Linked DNA regions of Schizosaccharomyces pombe. The protein of the gene in region 1 interacts with the protein of each later gene in a pairwise test. Each region holds a gene or a part of one and is shown on either strand. Other genes may lie near its edges. The genes, in order: hsf1 and inv2.

The links.
Region 2: the proteins of hsf1 (region 1) and inv2 interact in a two-hybrid assay, tested with the Schizosaccharomyces pombe proteins (one large-scale study listed by BioGRID).

The regions. Positions count from the first base shown.
Region 1 is NC_003424.3:5,057,439-5,062,642, forward strand, and holds hsf1 (DNA-binding transcription factor Hsf1), read left to right. Parts: upstream 1-1,816; 5' UTR 1,817-2,036; coding exon 2,037-2,364; exon of another isoform or gene 2,365-2,375; intron 2,376-2,520; exon of another isoform or gene 2,521-2,706; coding exon 2,707-4,208; 3' UTR 4,209-4,618; downstream 4,619-5,204. Other genes in the region: Set3 complex SANT/Myb domain subunit Snt1, read left to right, coding at 1-1,255; SPOM_SPAC2E12.03C (vacuolar basic amino acid transmembrane transporter), read right to left, coding at 4,760-5,204. UniProt on the Schizosaccharomyces pombe protein: DNA-binding protein that specifically binds heat shock promoter elements (HSE) and activates transcription. Also required for growth at normal temperatures.
Region 2 is NC_003424.3:3,383,926-3,388,938, reverse strand, and holds inv2 (beta-fructofuranosidase), read right to left. Parts: upstream 3,001-5,013; 5' UTR 2,893-3,000; coding exon 1,366-2,892; 3' UTR 720-1,365; downstream 1-719. Other genes in the region: sec17 (alpha SNAP), read right to left, coding at 1-26, 160-463, 505-622, 666-698; 14-3-3 protein Rad24, read right to left, coding at 3,452-4,194, 4,602-4,671.

The DNA.
Region 1 (5,204 bases):
TCAAAGTATGCCTGACATATGGAATGAAGAACAGCATTCCATTTTCGTTCAGCAATTTATTTTACATGGAAAAAAATTTGGTAAAATCGCAGAGGCAGTGCCAGGAAAAAACTCTAAAGAATGTGTATTACATTATTATCTGACAAAAAGGACAACTGACTATCGAGCTTTGGTAGCATCTGCAACAAAAACTAAGGGTCGTCGGCGAAAAAAGCTCCTTCCTTCTCAAAGAGGTGGAAAGAAAAAGTCCAAGGGTTCTGCTCTTATGGTTGATATTGAAGCTGCGGATATTAATAAAACGGAAGAGAATATCAATAATCAATTTCAAGAAGCTTCCGTCACTGCTGATAATATGAATACTTGGGATAATACGCCCTCTGTTGAAAATGTTGAATCTGCGAATGAGAATGTTAATAATCACAATGCTGATGAACAAATGGATGAAAAAATAAAGTCTTTGGTTGAAGGGAATAGTGCTTATGAAATTGAAAAAGGAGCTCAAGAGCCTGACCCTATGTCTATTGATATGACCGATAAGAGCGAGACTGTGTCTGGTTTCAAACATGATGTTGACGTTTATGATACAGCTGAAAATGAAGGGAATAACACATTACTGCAAATCAAAGAATCCGTTCATGAGAAAACGCCGACACAGGACGAGCCTATGGATATTAGCCAGGATACCATAAAGCAGGAGGATTACTATGAACCAAAGCTTGAACAACATTCTTCTTCCAAGCGTAACAGTATTTCAACTAGGAAGGAGGAGGATGCAGCTTCGGCTCTAGCGAACCTGTCTGCCGTTGGTCGTTCCATATCCGCCGTTGATGAGTCTGCTCACCAAGGGCACTTGCCTGGTTGGGATGAAAAAGAAGAAGCGTTAATATTTTCGTTGGCCCAAGGTATGAATCCAATGAAAATGCCTCTTACTCCAAGAAGAGCCTCCACTGGTCCTCGGCCACGCCCTACTTTCCAATTGACCGAAATTGATTCTCCAAATCGCCGTCGAGCTAGTGATTGCATTACACCGTCAATATCAAAGATACTGAAAATGGTGTCTGAAGATGCAAAAAGTCAACGCATAGACGAGTTATCAGTCGAGGATCAAGAGCATACAACACATTCATCTCATACGACATCAGACATAAACGCATTTCCGAATAGTCAATCATTTCCACGAGCATCAATTCATACATTAGCAGCATTGGGCGAAGACATTGTTGAACGCCAGTCCAAAAACGATAAAATTGTATGAGTTGTGACGTTTAGTGTTATTTAATGGCGTTATTTACCATTTGTTGTTATATGAAGGGGTTTTGTTTTCTAATTCGCAAATTGGTACCTCCTTACGTGATGCCTTACTCGACTTATCTCGAATTCTACTTTAATCCTTTTTTTTTTTTCTTTTGTATATATTTTCTATTACTTTTAATGTGAGAGTTCTATATGTGTCGGGTTATGATGGTGAGTTTTTATTAAAAAAGTAAAAACTCTATAATAACTTGACTGCCGATCGTTTACGAAATCTATCAAGAGACGAATTTTTTCAATCAATAAATCTTCATGTGAAATCTAGTTATTAGTCTCGGCGACGGAAACGCTTAATTAGTAGCGTTAGTAAGTTAATCTGTAATTGACACATAACAATTTATTCGATTTAATAATTTTTTGCATTTTTTGTTGCATGCAAAACCGACACCAAAAATAAATACCGAGTGGCTAAATGACCTCACTAAACAAATTAGCGATATACCCCGGTGAATGATATATGGTGTATTGTAATCATTCGGTAGTGGATTATTGCAAAATATAACTTGACATCAACCAACGACACCCGCTTCAAATTTCGGTGAGAGCTTGTTAAAGCTACTGAGAAAGTATACATTATTTAAGAATATCTTGATTGAACCTTGTGAAATACGAACTGCATATTCTTCCCTGGTGGTTGAGAAGAAGGTACTGAGAATTCCTTTAAATCAGTAACGGACATATATATTTTTGTTAAATTAACGGCACCCATAATAAATTGATTTTTAATGATTCAGACTGCATCGACAATTTCAAGCAATGGCGGAACGAATCAGGGAATGGAGTCCAGCAGCGCAAATTCACCGGAGATGAATGGGACACAAAATTCGATGTCCGTAGGGATGTCGGGCTCAGGTTCTTCACAAAATAGGAAAATCACACAGTTTAGTAATAAACTGTACAATATGGTGAACGACTCGTCGACAGATTCCTTAATTCGATGGAGCGACCGGGGTGATTCGTTTTTGGTTATAGGGCATGAAGATTTTGCTAAGCTGGTTCTTCCACGGTATTTCAAGCACAATAATTTTTCTAGTTTTGTTCGGCAATTAAACAGTAAGTGTCTTTAAAAAGTGAAGGTGTAACAAAAAGTCGAAGACAAGCTTTTACACAATTAATTTTTTTTATTATGAATGTGTCCCCCTACTTGTCTGCATTTATTCGAAGATATATCGGGCTTTGGAAAACTTTTGGATCAGTAAGCTTAACAACGACTATCTCTTTCGATTGTTCTTCCGTTCCACTTTTCGACGATATGAAAAATATTGCAATACTTCGGAATTATTGATTATTTATCTAATTAGTCTTTGTCAAGCCCTTTTCTATCTTTTCTTGTCCTTCGCATCTCATTTTATTACATTCATTTTTTTTTTTTTTTGGTTTACTAACTTTTTACAGTGTACGGCTTTCATAAAGTCCCTCATATACAGCAAGGTGTTTTACAATCCGATAGTCCCAACGAGCTTCTCGAGTTTGCAAATCCAAACTTTCAACGTGACCAACCTGAATTACTATGCCTAGTAACGCGAAAAAAGGCCGGTAGCCAACCCGTTGAAGAATCAAATACCAGTTTAGACATGTCTACGATATCCTCTGAGCTACAGAATATTCGCATCCAGCAGATGAATTTGTCGAACGAACTCAGTAGGATCCAAGTCGATAACGCAGCTCTTTGGCAGGAAAATATGGAAAATCGCGAGAGACAACGTCGCCATCAAGAGACGATTGATAAGATCCTTCGTTTTCTTGCCAGTGTATATTTGGATGGTAAACAGAAGCCACCTAGCAAAGTTATGCCCAAAAGTCGTCGGCTCTTATTAGAAGCTAAATATCCTACGGTTTCACCTACGAATGAACCGTCTGCGCATTCAAGGCCTTCACCTCAAGGTACTACTGCTAATTCTAGTAGTGCTAGTATCTCCTCTTTACACAATACGACTCCTGATGGAGAGGGCAAATACAGATCCGTTCAAAATGGACGAGCTTTAAATTATGTTTCTTCTTTTAATTCGGATTCGCATTCACCGAAGGATTATATTTCTCAAAGCTATACGAATGAGCCAGGACTTAAAAAGGAATCTGCCGATTCCTTTAACAATTCGATTGACTCATACATTTCTCCCAATCAATCACCTAATACGGATGTACCCTCATTAAATCGAGATGATACCACTGATCCTAAAGTCGTGAACACTGGTGATATTATCAATATGTTAGATGATGCCAATAGTATTGAAGGATCGAATATGAATTCCCTGTCACCTCTTCTTTTCGACTATCCCAATTCACTTTATCCGGTTAACAACACTTCTTCTGAACAGCACCATAACTCTTACAGAGGATCGGTGTCAAATTCCCAACCTTCTGGAAATTTGTCGGAATCGACTAATTTGCAACCTGTTCAACCAGTTGATTATATGTCAAATTCGAATCCGTCCTACGGTTCCTATAATGCAGAAGATCAACTTACAAACTTCCACCCAGGCTATGCCATGGATCAAAAAAGAATTTCTAAGTTATCAGATGGAATTACGAAGCAGGATCAGAATATACAAGCGTTGGCGGATATTTTAGGTATCCCGCTGGGTGACGGAAAGATTGATGATGCTGGGTTTTCTGCTAATTCACCCACCAACTTGAACTTGCCTGTATCATCTGATCTTGACAGCGTATTAAACATTCCTCCAAATGAGGATGTTTTCCCGGACTCAAATCCCGTTTTTGATGAATTTACAAATATTTCGAATCTAACGTCACCCATTGAAGCATCCAACGGGAACACGTTTGGTTCGAATCCCGTTTCTTTGCCTAATCAGCAGAAATCAGTTAATCCATCTTTAATGACAGTGTCCTCCCCTAGACAAGTAAGAAAGAAGAGGAAATCAAGCATTGGTGCATAAAAATGGGTGGGGCTTTCTTTTGATTTTACCATTTTTACAGCCTTCAGATGTACGTTGACGGATGGATAGACATTACGATTTTTTAGAAAAGGGCAGAACGTTACTGAAGCTGTTAATTCGGGGATTTGCTTAACGATTTGTGTGCATGAGTTTATGGAGTATTTTTATTTTCATTTAGTTTTATATAATTCAAACAGTTTCTCTTTTTTCTTTCCATCTAGAATTTTCAAGCTAATGTTTATACGGTGTACGACACATACATCTTTATGATGCCATTATATTTAAATTGGTAAGTCCTTTTATGCTAAGAAGGTTATTAGTACTTTCAATTGCAAAAGGATTCGATAATCCGACGAACTAGTTGCGTTGGTTTTAATGTTAATTTATGAATTTCTTGAATGTCATTAAAATAATTTATAAATGCATGGTATATAACGAACACTTTGCATTATTCTCATGTACTTTCATCTCGTATTCGCATAAACTAGATTGTAGCGGGGGTAAAATTAATGGAAGTATAATAAGCAGTTTTGTAGATTAAAGCTTGTAAACTAGGGGATTTGGATGGCGCTTTTAGTGTCGGAATCGTACGCATTTTGCCAGGCATTTGGTCGTGTATTAAATTTTCCCTTAATACTAAAGATGTCGCTGTATTCTTCATCTTTTTCGTCCCCATCCTCTTCAGTGAAAGTGACATCTTCGTCGGTAGGAGTGCTTTTGTTTTTCAATAAAACATTAAATATAAAGGCTAGAACAAACACGCCCATTTCTATAATGAAGAGAAGGCCATAATCGACTGCTGCCAGTACATCCCAACGATCAAAGGGAAGCGAAAGGAAGGAAAACAGAGATCCCGACGAATCAATGGCCAAAAATAGATAGGAAATGCCAGTTACAGCGCGAGCCCTAAAGATACTGATATATTGAGGTAAGAACCCAATGTTCACCAAGACAGTAGCTAAGACGCCCATAAATACGACAGGCCATTCAACATGT
Region 2 (5,013 bases), 1.7 Mb from region 1:
CTTTAAGGTAAGCCTTATTCGCAAGTCTGACAAGTTAGTTGTAAAAGATAATTAATTAGAAAAAAATAATAATAATAAAATTTAGACGAGTCAAATAAAGTGAATCTGTCACTTTGTTTAGGTCGTCAGCTGTATACGAAAAAAAGGTAAACTACATACGCATCTGCTTGATCACTAGAATACCATTCTCCAGCATCTTCATAAGCTCCCAGGGCAGCCTTTGTGTCTTGGAGCTCTTGCTCAAAAATGTCTCCCAAGTCCATTTTGTAATTAGCAGCACGGCGGAAGTTACCACGTCTTGTAAACAACTCGATGGCAATTTGTAGTACACGAGCTGCTTCTGAAGGCTTTTCGCGTCGATAAGATTTAAAAGCTTCCACATAAGTACTTGCAGCGTCATCCTTATCATCCGTTTTCAATTGCATCTCAGCAGCCTTTTCAAAAGCATAACCTGCAGCAGATCCTACACACGTTAGTAATTGAAAAGTAAATCAAAATCATTACCTTGCTTTTGCAGTCTGTAACCATTAGCAGCGTCTAAGAATAATTCTGAAGCTTCATCGTATTTGTTTCCTCCTCCAAAAAGCGCAAAGCCACCAGTTCCTTGGGCCTTTTTGGCGGCCTAGAGATGTTAATCAACTATATTTCCGCAACTTCTTGCATACTTTTTGCATTAATTGATCAGGGTCTGCGATCATGGAAAGTATGGTTATTGGTACGTTGAACTCATGCTATGTGTTACTTATGGTGTTATATGCCTTTATTGATTAGGGTATTAAGTTATACTGTAAATACGACAGCAATCATATTTAAAAATATGTTTTTAGACTAACTAAATCTGTTTTCTTCAGTTCATCAATTTTTCTTTTTCACCTTGTCAACGGAGGATAGAATTGAAATTGGGAACTTTTTACTCAAGAATGGGAAAGCATAGGAGCAATTCGTAATAAAATGTTTCTTTTTTTTATAGTAATTTACAAGTCAGACTAACAAACATAGAGCTGTTAAAAATAAATATTTGGTATATACATCTCCAGTCGTGTTTAAAAACTTGGCGTCGGAATCGACGCAGAATAACGACAACTGTAAAGAAATGGAACGGAATCAAATTGTAACAAAAACAAAAACAGAAATAAACAACGAACAATAGTGGATAACGTGTGGATTTTTGGAAACTATATCTTATCCATTTAGATGAGAAATAGTTTGGAAGATGGGTATCGAAAATCCCGAGTAATTTTCGGAATTTACTAGCCACGTGTATTCATAACATACTTGGATTTTCATCAATACACAGTAGAAAATAAGAGAAAACGCTGACGGAAGAAACTGTATCGATTTCGTATTGCCTGATTCATTTGGAACCTAGGAATGCGGTCTGTTGTTTAATAATGGTTGCATGCCTGATTTAGCTAAAGAAGCTCCAGTCGGGACACGAAGGTAGTAATACTGCAATGGTTCATCTCCCTTAAAATAGTAGGCGTTTGTTAAGCACATTATTCCTCCTTGCAAATAAACTTCAATAATGGAGTGATCTACTACAGCTTCAATTTCCAATATATAATTATCTTCGTAAGAAGAGGGAGGAACAGAAGACGTACACCGTTCAGGATATAAAGGATATTTCCAACTAGACGAGCATACACCCCTTTCGACGTAGACGGCACCGTCGTGGAATCGGTATCCAAGTTCAAAATACTCCTTAGAGGTCTCAACATCTGGCGTGGTAGACCATGTCAAGCATAAAAACTCCATAGGGGATTCTAATACAATACTTTTCGGAATGGAAACGGCGAGGTAGAATACAGTGGCACTAGTCCAGACAGTAGGAAATTCACAGACACGGTTTAACAAAAGTGGAGCTGGTAGAGAATCTGGATAGTAAAGATGGTGAAGATTAACTGGACGTTGACGTAGCACAAGACCACGCGTTTCTTGATTGAGATGGGTGTAGCAAAGAGTAAGTTCTCGAGGAATAGTAAACATACCTCGATGTTTCATACGCATAGGAACATCGTTCGTATAGTTCCAGTTACTTGCCCAAGAGATGGAAATGACTCTTCCATCGGGTGCATTACCAAACGTTTGAGTGGCATAGCAATCGTGACCGCAATCCAAAATTCTGGACGCGCTATCAATTGGAGTGAAGGTTTGACCATCAAAATCTCCAATAAAATATTGAACCATGCTACCCCCATTGATCGAAGAACCAGGATTAATGGAAACAATCAGTACCCATCGAAACTCGTCGGTACCCTCGATAGGGAGACGAACAAAGTCAGGGCATTCGTATTGGTATCCTAAAACGCCTGCAGAACCAAATTCCGAAAGTTTTACCCAATCGCGAAGGTTTAGGGAATGGTAAAACAGAACTTTGTATTTTTGAGCTAACACTACAACCATGATCCATGCTCTACTTTCTTCATGCCAAAACACTTTTGGGTCGCGGAACTGCGATTCCTTGATGTCGAGGATGGGATTCTTTTTGTATTTGATAAATGTGATACCTCCATCCAATGAGTAGGCAATGTTTTGAGTTTCACGATTATCATAATGCGTTGTATAAATCAACACAATTCTTTCTTCAGGGTCAACCGACTTTCTCGAAAAAAATCCACTTTCAAAAAAGCCTGATGAGTTGGTTTTATCGATCACTGCGCTTCCGCTAAACATTAATCCATGATCGTCTCCAGGTGCAAGGGCGGTAGGTAGTAATTTCCATTTATACAGGTTTTTACTCACTGCATGGCCCCAATGTTGATTACCGGCTTGGTTTCCTGTTGGATTCCATTGAAAAAACAAATGCCATTTTCCATTACTGTAAACCAGACCATTGGGATCATTCATAAATCCTTCTGGAGGCGTGAAATGTATGCATGGTCTCACAGGCATCGATTCAAATGTTTACTGTGCGTTTTATATGCAAACTTAAAGCTTTTATATTTAATAATGTTTGAGTATCACTAGAACATACAAATTTTTAAGCTTTGTGTAAAAAGTGGTACATCGGTCGTATGCAAGGAATATTAAGCAATTCGGTGCAAATCAGTCAAAAAGCTCAAATTCAATCCGATAGGCTTAAACATTCTCAATCTACCAACTCTTCAGTTTGAAACTCACATCTATCTAGACTATTGCTTGATTAACTCAACACCCACTTAGCCAAGCAAATCATTACGGGTTGTGTACTCGAAATTAAAATGTCGTCCAACTACTGTATTTTTTACAGCAGCTACCAAATACACACATATACTACGACTGTAAAAAAAAAAGAAATTTAAAGAAAGACAAAAAGAAAAAAAAATTAGAAGAAAATATACGAGAATGTAATGAGACTATTCCATCGTGTAGTACACAAGATCTAAACGAAAAAGAACTCTTAGACAAATAAATTTTTTAAAATTGGTTCATAGTAGTGAAAGTATGGCATCAATCATGAGCAACGAGCTATCTATGCGTCCGCCTTGGGCTCAGCTTCGCCTTCTGGAGCATTGGAAGGAGCGTTTTCTTGAGCTCCCTCGGTGTTACCACCAGCAGCGGCGGCACTGTATTCAGCATCAGAAGTCCATAAGGTAAGGTTGTCACGCAACAATTGCATGATTAAAGTAGAATCTTTGTAGGATTCCTCGGAAAGGCTGTCCAACTCGGAGATAGCTTCATCAAAGGCTTGCTTGGCTAAGTAGCAAGCACGGTCGGGGGAGTTCAAGATCTCATAGTAGAAAACGGAGAAATTAAGAGCAAGACCTAAGCGGATAGGATGAGTAGGTGCAAGTTCGGCGGTAGCAATTTCAGAAGCGGCCTTGTAACCTTCAAGAGATTGATCAGCGGAGTGTTGGCGCTTCTCACCAACGGCAAACTCAGCAAGGTAACGATAGTAGTCACCCTTCATCTTGTAGTAGAAAACCTTGGATTCGGCAGAGGCAGCATTAGGGATAAGGTGCTTCTCAAGAACGGTCAAGATATCTTGGCAAATAGTGTCAAGTTCTTGTTCAATCTTTTGACGATATTCCTTAATTAATTCAACTTGAGCAGTATTGCCTTTGCTCTCCTCCTTTTGCTCGATGGAGGAAACGATACGCCAAGACGCCCGGCGAGCTCCAATTACATTCTTATAAGCAACAGAGAGCAAGTTACGCTCTTCGACGGTCAATTCTTGATCAGTGGAGGCAACGCTTTTCATGTTTTCAACCATGCCTGGATATATTAGTGATAAGTACATAAGGATTTCGACTTTCGAGATGCGCAGCATGATGTATTTTCCGTATGTCTGTATGAACAAAAAAATTTCTTCTCGGAGTAAAAACAATTAGAAATAAAGTTAGGAAACAAGTTGAAATACTAAAACACCTTTTCAACATCACCATAGCCAATGCACAGTTCATTTGACAACCACCATACAACACACAAACACAAACATTCTACCAACTAAGCCTCTGATCACAACTATGTCAAAAATAAATGCAATCGATGTTTTACAGGAAGCCCGCTTACTCAAAAGCTTCCGCCGATAGAACCTTGGATGTGTGTAATTTTGTTCTTGCAGAAATAACACCAAATATATCTCTGCTCTACGCGTCTCTAAACCTTATAAAAGCACATACCTTCATAGCGCTCGGCTTGCTCAGCAAGTTTGGCTAAATAAACAGCATCTTCACGAGAAGTAGTAGACATTTTTACCAAACGTTCGAAAATGTGAGTATATCGTGGTGGTTGGCACTGGAAAGGTTGCGGAACGTCGTATGGTAGAAAAAGGACTGCTCCCACAGTAAAATTTCGTAGCACTGCGTAAACGTGCCCTGTGCTTCTGTATGTCGAATTTAGCGACTGCGCATCGTAATTTATCGGCACGACAGAAGGTTATCGAAAAACCTGGCTGCTGGACTGTTCTCGTTTGTTGCGACAAAGCCCCGGGGTAAACACATCCTTGGCAACGGATCAAGAGAAACTGTACCCCTTTTGTCATATTGACGCAAAAGGTAAACATCGAAAGGAAGGTGCCTGAACACGTGCAAA